Linked DNA regions of Coturnix japonica. The protein of the gene in region 1 interacts with the protein of each later gene in a pairwise test. Links are inferred from orthologs where the notes say so. Each region holds a gene or a part of one and is shown on either strand. Other genes may lie near its edges. The genes, in order: BANP, FOXM1 and PPIC.

What was found.
Region 2: the proteins of BANP (region 1) and FOXM1 interact in binary tests that used the Homo sapiens proteins (3 or more experiments, as listed by UniProt). The link is inferred for Coturnix japonica from reciprocal best matches to the Homo sapiens genes BANP and FOXM1.
Region 3: the proteins of BANP (region 1) and PPIC interact in binary tests that used the Homo sapiens proteins (3 or more experiments, as listed by UniProt). The two-hybrid records come from large-scale screens. The link is inferred for Coturnix japonica from reciprocal best matches to the Homo sapiens genes BANP and PPIC.

What each region holds. Positions count from the first base shown.
Region 1 is NC_029526.1:16,147,483-16,151,628, reverse strand, and holds part of BANP (protein BANP), read right to left. Parts: intron 1,040-4,146; coding exon 896-1,039; intron 1-895. UniProt on the Homo sapiens protein: Controls V(D)J recombination during T-cell development by repressing T-cell receptor (TCR) beta enhancer function. Binds to scaffold/matrix attachment region beta (S/MARbeta), an ATC-rich DNA sequence located upstream of the TCR beta enhancer.
Region 2 is NC_029516.1:68,394,843-68,399,040, reverse strand, and holds the start of FOXM1 (forkhead box protein M1), read right to left. Parts: upstream 3,236-4,198; 5' UTR 3,122-3,235; intron 1,972-3,121; 5' UTR 1,925-1,971; coding exon 1,378-1,924; intron 262-1,377; coding exon 113-261; intron 1-112. UniProt on the Homo sapiens protein: Transcription factor regulating the expression of cell cycle genes essential for DNA replication and mitosis. Plays a role in the control of cell proliferation. Also plays a role in DNA break repair, participating in the DNA damage checkpoint response.
Region 3 is NC_029547.1:66,535,372-66,539,617, reverse strand, and holds the start of PPIC (peptidyl-prolyl cis-trans isomerase C), read left to right. Parts: upstream 1-1,117; 5' UTR 1,118-1,155; coding exon 1,156-1,257; intron 1,258-2,512; coding exon 2,513-2,626; intron 2,627-2,902; coding exon 2,903-2,996; intron 2,997-3,978; coding exon 3,979-4,163; intron 4,164-4,246. UniProt on the Homo sapiens protein: PPIase that catalyzes the cis-trans isomerization of proline imidic peptide bonds in oligopeptides and may therefore assist protein folding.

The DNA.
Region 1 (4,146 bases):
CTATCCAATACTTATATGCCTATTAGTTGCATGGGATGAGCAGTACTCTTGGTACTGCACAGCTTCAAGAAACAAGGCATGATCCATCAGCAACGCTCTTGTCGTCCAGCACACTATTACAAGTGACTGTGAATCGATGACTGAGGAGGCCTGAAAGCACAGAGACAAACCTAGGGAAGGAACGTGACTTCCTCCATTTCTTATGCAGCTCAAGAGATCCAACATCCAAATGTTTGCAGCCAGATCAGAACTCTCTGCAAAACTGGGTATCTACGTGACAAAATTCCCTTCTAAGATTGGTTGCTGAGGATAACATTATATCCTGGCTGGTAAGCCAATACATCTCTCACAAGCATTAGGGATTCTTTAGGAAAGGAGCCAACTCCAGTTGGGTTCATGGAACAACTGCTTCTTTTGTATGCCTGCACTGCCACCAGGCATGACTTTGGGCTGGTTCCAGCCTCAGCTACGTGACTCTTCAAACTGACCAAGGAAAGAAAGAAAACACACCTCCTCCACCTTAACTGAGCCCATCGAGTGTTCACTTACAATTGCATACATTGCAGCTCCTGTGGGAAATCCAGGCTGTGGATTAAAATAACTGGAAAACTTCTGTCAGAAAGAGAATAACTTTTTAAAGAGAAACCTCAGTCTGAAAAACACTTTTTGGATAGTTTCCGAGCCAGTTTTTCCTCCACGTCCTGTAAAAATGGCTCTCAGCCCTCAAGGATGCAGAAAAACAATGGTGACCAAAATAACTGTTCTCTGGGGGCAATGAGCAACAACGCCAAAGAAGGAATAGTCAATAACCACTATTTACCTTTAGGAAAATTATCTTAATAATTTGGCATATATATTTATATACACATATCTCTACACATATATGCAGGCATACTTGGCTGGTTGCAGAGTGGTCTGTCACAGGTGTGAGCTGCACATACTGGACTTGGATATCGCTGCCTTGCAGTGGGGATCCATCAACTCCTCCTGATGCAGGCTCGGCAGATGCAACAGCTATCAGCTGAGCACCCTGCAACACCTGCAAGCAGAGCAAAGGAGAAACAGCTTGTGAACAGGCACAGCCAGGAACGCATTAGGAAACATCGACCTGAAAACAGATGCAACAACCAAACATGATTCAACAGAAACTTGAGAAAATATGTACATCAGTAGCAGTTTAAATAATGTGGGTCCCAAGGAGGTGGTACACACATGGAAGATTCTCACATAAGATTCTCACTGCATTTTGCCTTATGAGACCTGTATTCCCTGGAAGGGTTAACGGGCACCACACCTGGAAAGGTTTGGCTCCCTTATGATCCTAAACACAAAGTAAGTCATCCCCTATCTGTATCAGCACTAGCAAAGGAATAAATCATCCTGGTGGCCTGTGCTAAATAGGTCCATTTTAATTCCAACTCATTCTAACAACAGTTAGCACACTAAGTCACCAGTCCAATTACCACGTCTATATTCTCTGAGTGCATCCAATTCCCTACCTGCAACCCAAGCAAAAGCAAGGCTTGTAGACTTAAGAAGCCAAAGAGAGGGAAAAACCAAAGCACTGATTATGCTGTATAGTTTGTAAGCATGAGATGGTCTGTTTCACAGCTTGCAGCTATGAAAACTGATCTGTTTATTCTGCCAGCCGGCAGATGAGCGCAGCAGCTCCATCAGCTCAGGTTCCTCATAGGATGAGCTCTGCAGCCACAGCACTGAACTGGGGGAATCTGCTTTAGAAACCCCTTCTACTTGGTTTTATGATGGCAGAAAGAGAGAGGGTGGAGGGAGGGGGTAACAAAAGGCAGACACTGAGTTCACTTCTAGCATCCTCACACCTTCAGGTTGAAGATCAGAGGGTAGAAGCCAGGTTTGCTGGGAGGAAAAAAAGGAACTTGTTCAGTTTTGCTTGCTTGCTGCTGTCTCTTTGCACGGAAATATTGCGCTCCCGTGGCTGGGAAACATTTCAAAAGAGGTTTTTTTGGCCAACTGCTTCCAACGAGAGATAGTGGCTTTCCTAAGGAGTGGGCTGTTACCGCCCTCATGATAAATGACACCTCCCTAAGCGCTGCAAAAGATAATTGATGAAGGGTTCATAATTCTGCTAATGATTATTGCAAAGGGTAAGTGGGACAGACAGAGCAGTCAGCGCTGCTGTAATGTCAATAGCACACAGCCACCCCCCAGCTAATGTGTTCACTGTTATATAAATAGAGAGACGGAGCCAAGATACTTATTCTCACAGCCAAACACATTCAACTTATGACAATTTGTTGCAGCAATGTTTATCTTCCCATTGTACACGAAGGTGTAGATTTACAAATTACTGCTAATTAATGCTCGCAGCCACTGACTCTACACATCTTCATGCTGGCTGGTTGAGGCTGGGTCCCCTGTTAGCCAAAGAGCAACAAAAGAGCAGATGCTTCACCCAAAATCGCTTGCTTAAATGCATCCCTGTGACGAGAGCGACTGTAATTTACTACTTAAGTACAACTCAGAATAAAATATACATATGTGAACAACAGCAAGTCCCCCGATCTCATTTCAAAATGCAGCCAAAATACACAAATTCCGTTTAGGTTTCTATATGCTGTGAGCGCTGTTTTGTTTTTAACTACCTCTGGTATTTGAACCACAGCGCTCAAAAGATGCCTTTCAAACAGAGGAAAGAGAACTGAGAGCAAAAATAACATTCTGAACAAAAGCTTCCCTTACCCAAGTATGATTTCCCAGCTGATGGGAGGGTGGGTGGCCGTGAAGGAGTGGGCAGCACAACCCCTCCCTGGGGAGTGTGGGAGGCCAAGAGGTGACCCCTAGGAAGGACCTTTGGGGTGTTGGCAGGGTTTTATGGGGATCTTGGGTGTTCCGAGATACGGTCAGCACTGAGCTGCAAAAGGATGCTGCGTTCTGTTTTTACAGGAGCAAGCAAAAGCCTCTTGTCCTGCACTATTTACTTTGGAACGACATGATACGCCCTGTCAGAACTACATGGCAGTCTGTCCTATTGATTATCCGCAGCTCTAAAATGCATCTTGTCTCATTAACTTCCAAAGCACAAACTTCAGGATGACTTCAAGCAACCAAACCAGCCCCTTTCATGCACACAAATTGCTTTGACAACAAAGAAGCCTACAGCTGCTAACAGCACCAGCTTCCCTGTCTTAGGATGTGTAAAAGGACAGAGTTCATACAGCAGATCCAAACGGATCCAAACAGACCCCCTCTAATCAGGGAGAGCAAGCTTACCAAGATAAAAGCCCCAGCCCTATGACTTCAATCTGCCTCATTTCATATTGTTTATATATTGTTTATATATAATATATTCGTATTCACATTCCATTGTGTTTGCCAATACCACAGGTTTTATAGGGAGGCTGCAAAAATGACAGATATCAAGGGATCAATGGCTTTAAGTAGAGCAGTGAAGGAGTGGTAAAACAGAGACCTCAGCAATAGGGGCAGGTGTGAGGATATGGCTTTTCTTTGGCTGCTCACTCGGCTCCCAGACCAACACATCGACTTTGTGATTCTTACCTGCCCTTGACCTTAAAATAAAGGAGTTGTACCACAAAAATTAACAGTCTGCCCTGAAAATGAACCTCTGAAATGAGCTCTGCTGGGCTCCTCTAACATCCTGCCTCGCTGCTCCAAAACAGGTAACAGAATATGGTTAAACCGAAAAATAATAAACTTTCCTTCTAACAGAAGGGATTAATTCGTGCTCTGGACACCCACAAACAAGCAGCTCAGAGGCAGCTTCCACTTGCCTTTACATACCCCTCTATGCAGATGCAAAGTGCTCTTCAAGCACTGTTGGTGGCCTGGCCTGATCTTCCCAACCTTCCCATCTCAATGATGATAACACTGCATGGTGAACCTGCTGTACAACCCACCTCAACTACAAAGCACCATAGAACCCCATCCTCCACCGTACCCAGCAGCTCTCAGAAGAAGAAAATGTTCCCTTACTCCTTCTGAAAGAACACTAAGCGTGTTTCTATTAGTTTTGATTTTCAACCATCCTAGAAATACCAGAAGGAAAAGTATTTTGCTCAGCTGTTTATAATGAAGTGTGAACTCCTGGCATTGCCCACTCACAGAACCGCAGCCTCTCTGACCAAACATCTGCTTTCCTTAGTGCTT
Region 2 (4,198 bases), on another chromosome or scaffold:
GTTCTCAGATTATTTGGAAATCATCATATCTAGCTCTCATAAGTCTTCAAATCCAGACTGATTTCATCCTCATCAAAAGTTTTAGCTTACACTGTTGTCCTCTCCTAATTACCTTCATTCTTTCCTGCAGAGGGATCTGGTTCTCCTTCTCCATGCCTTGTTTCACAGAACAGGGAGTTAGTCCTTCAGTTCTCATCTTCCCCAGCCACTGGATGTTAGTGAGACTATTATCCAGCACAGAGCTCACTGTGTCGCCACTGCCTGTTGGAAAAATAAGCCCAAAACTCTGCTTATTTACAAGTAACCCTCTTCCTTCACCTCAAGTGCCAAAAAGAAAGTACTAACATAGATATCCCTGTGTCAGGGTAGGAACAAGATGGTATTGCAAAGTTCAGCCTTCTTGTGTATTTACCTTGAATTACTGATTGAATGTGTATCTGCCCAATTCCTGAAAAAAAGCTGTAACGTTAAAGACAGAACAAAAACTAAAACAAACAAACATATCACAATATTCAAACCAAACGATTGTTCTCAGCCAAAACAGGACAGTGTTGACTCCAGTACTTTGAGTATTCAAGCATTTTTAGCTAAAGGATTAATTAAATAAACAAAAGTCAAGGAAGGTGGCATAAACTCCAACAGTAAGACTTACACACAACCCAAGTAGCAATCAAAAAGTCTCCATGGTTTCTGAACAGCAACAATAGAAAACTAATCTAATGTTGTATTGTTTATGGTGGGGTTGTTCTCAGTAATACAGCTACTGGAACTATCTATGGGTTCCTCTTAAACAGCATTAGCCTGTGGGATAAGATTTACCACAGCCCAAATCTACAGAGCAGTTTTAAATTCCAAATACAAATGAGATCTGAGAAGCAAGTCAAAGTAAAAATCAGTCCCATTTCTAACATTTGCCCATCAGCTTCAAGAGACAGCCAAGAAGGAAACAGTTGGAATTATTTTTCTTTCAAAGGCCTGTGCCCCTTTTGTCATTGACTGACTAAGGTACTTCATGCTGATACTGGAGCGCTGATAATGGAGTGACTCCATTCATGATTCCTTTGCCTCATATTTTGTTATTCTAGACCAGAATTCCCTCCAACTAACCCCACTTCTTTTTATCCGGTACCAAATTTTTGCTTTTTTTGCCTTTTTTCAAGTGCCAGGACTGTTTCTTTCAAAGTATATCCACCAAGATCCCTCAAATTCCATTACATATCCACAGCTACTTATTTGTAATTAATTTACATTTGTAAATTAATTTGTAATTAATTTAACGACTTCCACTACTGCATACCGAGATTCAAGTACTACGCTTATCGTCCCAATTTGCGTATCTTTATCCTTCAGAACAAGAAAAGTGTAAGGGTTACTTACTGTTCTCCTGCTTCTGTGCAAACGCAGAATCAGTTCCTGAATGCCAGGCCATTGATCCTCCTGCAGGATCAGGTATCTGTGATGTATTCTTCTCCCTTACTTGACTGTTTGCAGTCCTAGCCACTGTGCCAGGTTCCTCCACTGAGGGAAGGTGCTGTGATAGCACCAAACCTGTTGAACGAGAAGTTCCCCCAGTGCTAATGAGAATGAACTTATTGGGCCCATTGTTGCCACATTCTTTTCCTTTTGCTGTCAGGGCCTCTATGATGCTCTGGATATCCGCATTTGCAGGGATGGCCACCACTTGCGTGTTGGGCATGGTAGGATGGTTCATTATCTTTATTCCCTCTGGGAATTTCTGCAGGCCACAGCCTGTTTTGTCTTTGCATTGGCTGTCATTTTGGTACTCCTGGCTATGTTCCTGCTTAGGTGCATTTTCATCGTGACCGCTGTTCTCATCTCTTCCTGAAGTACTGGATGCCTCCTTCTGTAGAAGGGTCAGTTTCCTTCTTTTGAGAATTAAGGGCCTGCAAGGGCTGGTCCTCATTATTTATCTGTACAGTCACTCTCCATTGAAAATGAGAGGAACAAGTCCTGCAAAACAAAAACACAATATGAGTGCAGACAGTAGGAATAGATAAAAAAGGTCAACAAACACACCACAGGTCTTTCACAGCACTTATATTCTCAGCAATCCCCACGCTGCTAAAAAACAGAGAAAGAAAAACAAAAATGAAAGCTTATAATAAGGTTGACTAGGCTACAGGAAAATACAGTTCACCTCTTTATCAACAGCTTGTGGAAGCAGGATTCGCAGAGTAAATACTTGCATCAGAAGTTGAATGTCATTATGTATCTAATAACAAGGAAAGCATGTATATCTAAAGGATGAGAGACCTGGGACTCTCCAGTCTAGAGAAGAGAAGGCTGAAAGGGGATCTCATAACTCTTTATAAATATCTAAAGTGAAGGAGTGAAATTGATGGGGGCAGACGCCTCAGTGGCAAGCAACAATGTAACAACGGACAATAGGCAGAAACTGGAACAACAGGAAGTTCTATACTAATAGAAAGAAAGACTTGTTCACTGTCAGAGCGCTGGAATAGCCTTCTCAGGGGTGTTCTGGAGTCTCCTTCTCTGGAGATATTCAAGACCCGTCTGGATGTCTACCTGTATGAGGGATGCTAAGACTTAGCTGGGAAATTACTTGACCAGCATCAGCCAGTAAGCTGGAGGGATGAGAAACCAGAATACAGACATAGCAATCTGCTGTAAGCAACAGAACACAGCCTGACCAAAAATGGATTTAAGTGCTGGTATAAGACGTGGGAAACAGAAAAGTAGAAAGGAGTGGAGGACAAATGCAGGTACAGTAAGAATCACCTGGAAAGACACACAGTGGCAAACACCCATTAGATGAGCTCTCTATGAGCAGGAAGCACTGGGGCCAGAGGCTGCTCAGCAGCTGAAGGCCAGAAACTTCCTAAACAGGCCAAAAGCTGTTTTCAGCAGCAGGAAGGTGCTCACAGCTCTATAAAGCGATGAGAACGAAGCAAAAGAGCTCGTGATACTGAAGAACGAAGCAAGTATCCCCTCAAACCTACGTCACCCGCTGTAAACCACAACCCTCACTTCCCGGACTCTCAGACCTCACCGGGCCACGCAGCTCCTCACAGGGAAAGCCCAAACAACGGGAGAGCGCAGTACAACAAGGAATGAACGCCGAGCTTCGGTCCCAACTCACCCCCTCCCCAGGCGAGCAGAAGAGGCGCAAGGAAGATCCAGCTTCACCACCTGCAGCCCGGCTCGGATCCACCCCCCGCCATCGCCATCGGTTCCCTGTTTGAATTTGGCGCTCAGCGGTTTCTTGCCATCACGTGGAGCTCCGGGCCAGTGAAACGCAGCGGCGGGCGGGGCCGAGCCGGGCGGGCTGATGGGTATGTACTATATGGGGTGGGTGCTGAGCACGGTGGGGCTGTGGTCACCTGTAAATACTCTTAATTTAAGGGTCGTTATCCGCTTCGAGAGGAGTTATCCGAGCTGAGACTGTGAGGCTCCAACCCTACAGCCAGGTTTGACTCTTCTGTGGTTTGACTCTTCATCGCTGTGTGTTACCGGGAGGAAAGCGTGGCTCCAGCTGCCTTCACAGAGACCTCCAAGAGCATCTGGACTTCACTGGTTGGTGGATAATAAGGTTGTGTCTCTAAATCTTCTGGCATGTTAAGGGGGCTGGTCAGTTGTTTTGATAATATGTAGCAAGCGGTTATTATGTAGCTTTATATATTGAATAAGAAAATGTACTTCTTGCATGGTATTTTCTCACCAGTGTCAATCTGCTTCTACATGGAAAAATATCCTCGTACCATGAATATGCATGTATTCCCCTGATAAATAGAGATGTTTACCTCCTTTTGGTGTGCAGGCTAGGAAGGAGTTAACCCCCTGCACCCAGCCAGCCAAGTAACACGTACCTGCTCTACAACTACTTTGTGTTATAAAGTTTGTTATGCAACTCAGTGTGGCTGTTTACCATCACATGTTTGGTTGTGCCTTCATGAAGCTTTGAAGCACTTAATTACTCATTCTACTATATATATATATATATATATATATATGCTAAATCTGCCTGGAATCTGATAAAAGATATAAAAACTACTGGTAGGTAACAGTCTATATGGAGATCTGCATGTTATTGTACTAGTGTTTTGTTCAAAGTCTTTATCTGAGGTTTCTAAATAATTGTTCAAGTCCATTTCCTTTTATTTATTTTCTACAGATTTGAGGGTGCTTGAGCATCAAAGTGCTTTCCTCCTCCTCCAAT
Region 3 (4,246 bases), on another chromosome or scaffold:
AATTGAACCATTGGAACTGGGGTTCTTTCAGGTATAAAGGATGAAGGTGGCACTGCAATTAAAAGCTACACAGCCACACAATGCCTGCTCTAATACTTGAACCATTGGAATTGGGGTTCTTTCAGGGATAAAGGATAAAGGTGGCACTGCAATTAAGCCACACAACGCCTGCTCTAACACTTGAACCATCGGAACTGGGGTTCTTTCAGGTATAAAGGTGGCACTGCAATTAAAAGCTACACAGCCACACAATGCCTGCTCTAATACTTGAACCATTGGAACTGGGGTTCTTTCAAGTATAAAGGATAAAGGTGGCACTGCAATTAAGCCACACAACGCCTGCTCTAACACTTGAACCATTGGAATTGGGGTTTCTTAGTGCACAGGAATGACAACCAAGGCCTTCCAGTTACCTCTGTCAGAGGTAATGTATCTGTGTGTCCCACTGCAATTAAAAGCTACAGAGCCACACAGGTCCTGCTCTAATACTTGAACGATTGGAACTGGGGTTCTTTCATGTATAAAGGATAAAGGTGGCACTGCAATTCAAAGCTACACAGCCACACAACGCCTGCTCTAATACTTGAACCATTGGAACTGTGGTTCTTTCAGTTATAGAGGATAAAGGTGGCACTGCAATTAAGCCACACAACGCCTGCTCCAGTACTCGAACCATGTGAACTGGGGTTCTTTCAGGTATAAAGGATAAAGGTGACACTGCAATTAAGCCACACAACGCCTGCTCTAATATTTGAACAATTGGAACTGGGGTTCTTTCAAGTATAAAGGATAAAGGTGGCACTGCAATTAAAAGCTACACAGCCACACAACGCCTGCTCTAACACTTGAACCATTGGAACTGTGGTTCTTTCCGGTATAAAGGATAAAGGTGGCACTGCAATTAAAAGCTACACAGCCACACAACGCCTGCTCTAATACTTGAACCATTGGAACTGTGGTTCTTTCAGTTATAGAGGATAAAGATGGCACTGCAATTAAGCCACACAACGCCTGCTCTAACACTTGAACCATTGGAACTGGGGTAACAGGTAACGCATCCGTGTGTCCCCCAGCTCCATCCCCGCTATGATCACACCCATCCCGGCTCCTCCCCTCCCGTTTGCTGACGCAGGCGCCGCAGCTCCGAGTGTCGCCATGTCCCTTATTCGGACGGCTCTCATTGCCATCCCCGTTCTCGTTCTGCTTTCTGCAGCAGCACAGGGGCTGCGGAGGAGGGGACCGAGTGTGACAGCCAAGGTGACTCCGTGCCGGGCCGGGTGGGAGGCGGTCGGTCTGTCGGTCGGTCGGTCGGTGTGCGCTGTATTGGACCGCAATGCCGAGCCCGGGGAGCCCCCCCGGCTATATTTCCCCTTGCTGGGGCTGCCATTGCTTTGCAGTGACGTGTACAGCCGTGATGTGGCTCCTCCTTGCAATCCCGGAAGGCAATGTGACCGCTGTGCTCACTATCACAGCCATTAATTACTTCTATGCCTGGAATTTGGAGGCTTGACAGCTCCTTCCCTTCTTAATGGAGTCTAGTATTCCATCGTAGCCCCCTGTTCTGCCAGGTTGGGTGTTGGAAAACGTTTCCTAACGTTGCATGTACAAAAGGGGTTTTGATGTGCTGCTCTGCCACTTGCAGAGCCTCCAGTTTCAGCTCTGCCTCTCTGCATGCCCTGTGCATGCATTTGATAGTGCTATAGCCTGCAGGCATCGCTGGCAGCCACCAGCTGCTCTTCCTGATCGAGATTTCCATATAAAACATGGGGAGTTTAGAAAACCTGCACAGCTTTGTTTCTTTCTTCTCTTCATCCATACCTAAAGATAATTGACTGCAAAATGAAGAGAGGTGCATTTATAAAGATGCCAGGAAATCAGTTTGTTTGGGAGCCGCGCATCTAACAAGTATGTTATTTGGTGCCAAGGAAATGGATGAGGTGCGCCAAAAGGAATGTTGTTTTCTTTATGGGATGAGGTGCACCAAAAGGAATGTTATGTTCTTTATGAAGCTGCTGTAATGTTAGCCAGGAGATCCACAGTCAAAAACCACATGGAAGATGAAGAAACAGTAGGAACGTTTGGTAGGAAAGCATAAAAGAGGCATTGACATTGGTGAAGCTGATAGCTTTTATGTAACTTCTTCGAACGCCTCATTTCCTTACAGCTGCTCCTAATTGTTTGAACATTTCTGCTGCTCATAGACAAACTCGGATATTCTGAACTATGTTAAATGCCTCTTAACTCTTTGGTCTTTGTAGCAGCACGCATGTAGAAGCCTTTGGGCAGCCAGCTCTACTGCAGCCTGGTTCTTCCTCCAGTCTGTTCTGGGTTGTTATGTGGGGAGTGGACACCGTGCTGGAGCAGCAGGGTTTTCATCCCACTTTTTCCCCATTGCATAACCTGGGTTTGGAAGCTGGAAGGAAACCAGCACCTGAGGATTGTAACATTAATAGTGAGGTTGCTTCTTACTGCTGTTCTTGTTTGTATCTCTTTGCTTCACAAATACATCCAGGTGTTCTTTGACGTGAAGATTGGAGACAAAGATGTTGGCAGAATTACAATCGGGTTGTTTGGAAAGGTTGTCCCCAAAACGGTGGAGAACTTCATCGTGCTGGCGACTGGAGAAGTAGGTTTGCAGTTCTTTTGTGCGCTAAGGTTTGGAGTGGGAAACGAGTATTTAAGTGCCACTTTGGTTGTGAACCATACACTTCAACTCAGTGCGGTCAGTGCAATTGTGCCATTCCCCATCCCCAAGGCTCACCTGCATCTCACTGCTGTTTGTTCCTTGCCAGCATCTGGCTCAGGAAGTGGTGTGTTCTCCTATAGCTGACCACACACCGCGTGTGTATTTCCATACCGCCGTACAGAACTGTGTGTTACATTCATTATTTCGTTTTCTCAGAGAGGGTACGGTTACAAAGGAAGTAAATTTCATCGTGTGATCAAAGACTTCATGATTCAAGGAGGGGACTTTACAGCTGGAGATGGGTCAGGAGGTAACATAATTTCTTACTTTTGGCTTCTCCTTTCTGTGAGGGTGTACTGAAAAGATGGACAAAAGAGCTTTTTCCTTCTTTCTTTCAATACATGAGAAAAAAAAGCACTCATCTCCAAACCATGGAAGCCTCCATCATTCCCCTGCTCTGCTTTGCAACAGCGCTGCTTCCCTGGGGCACTCATTGAATGCATGTTTGTGCGGATCAGTTCCAGTCACCCAGCAGCAAACTAATCTGTGATAAAGAAAGGAAAGCGTGTTGATAGAAGGCAGGTAGGGGAAGAGCAGTCTCACCTCTCTTGTCCTCAGCTCAGCATCTCTTGCATTGCATGCATTCTGGCCTGATTTCTTCTCTTCCTTTACACGCGTGTTCATCAGGTGCTACGATTTGAGCTGTCTGCGTGCAGTGTTAGTGATTTCCCTGCTGGGACAGAATGGAAAACATTCCTTTTCCTTGCAGCAAACAGTGGGAAGGCTAAAATACCAAAGACACAGTTTTAGCATTGAAGGTAGGCAATGTTTGTTTGCCTGCTAGTACTGTTTGTTGGGATAGCAACAGCATTCTCTTGTCAAAGTTACAGTGTTTTAACCATGAATAACGTTTTCTCTTATTAACTATTTTAAAACACCAAAATTCTTATGTTTCTGCAGATACACACAGAGTACACCAGCTTCCCTAGCCTTAATAAACGTGGCTAAGGTGAAATACCGTGCAGAAAGTGTTGCAGAAGTACCAAAGGTGTCTTAAAACATGGTTACCTTATTTTTAGCAGCCACTTTGATGTAGTTTGAGCTTGCTGAGATGAAGTACACTGCTGCTCAGTGATGTATTTTAGCAGATACTGAATTTGCTAGTTAAATTCAGAGGCTAGAGCATCACAAGCTTTAAATATTCTTTCCATGTATATGGTGTTTTTTTTAACAAGATTGTGCGTTGTTTGTTTTTATTACTTACTTAGTTAATATATTTTTTTATGTCGAAGGAAGAAGCATTTATGGAGAAAGGTTTCCAGATGAGAACTTCAAGCTGAAACACTATGGAATTGGATGGGTTAGCATGGCTAATTCTGGCCCAGACAGCAATGGATCCCAGTTCTTTATCAGCGTGACAAAGCCTTCCTGGTTAGATGGAAAACATGTAGTGTTTGGCAAAGTCCTTGATGGAATGGTAAGCTGAAAGAAAATATTCTCCTGCATTATATATGTAACTTAGAACTATCTTGAGCAATTGAGTGTAGAAAGTGGATGTGA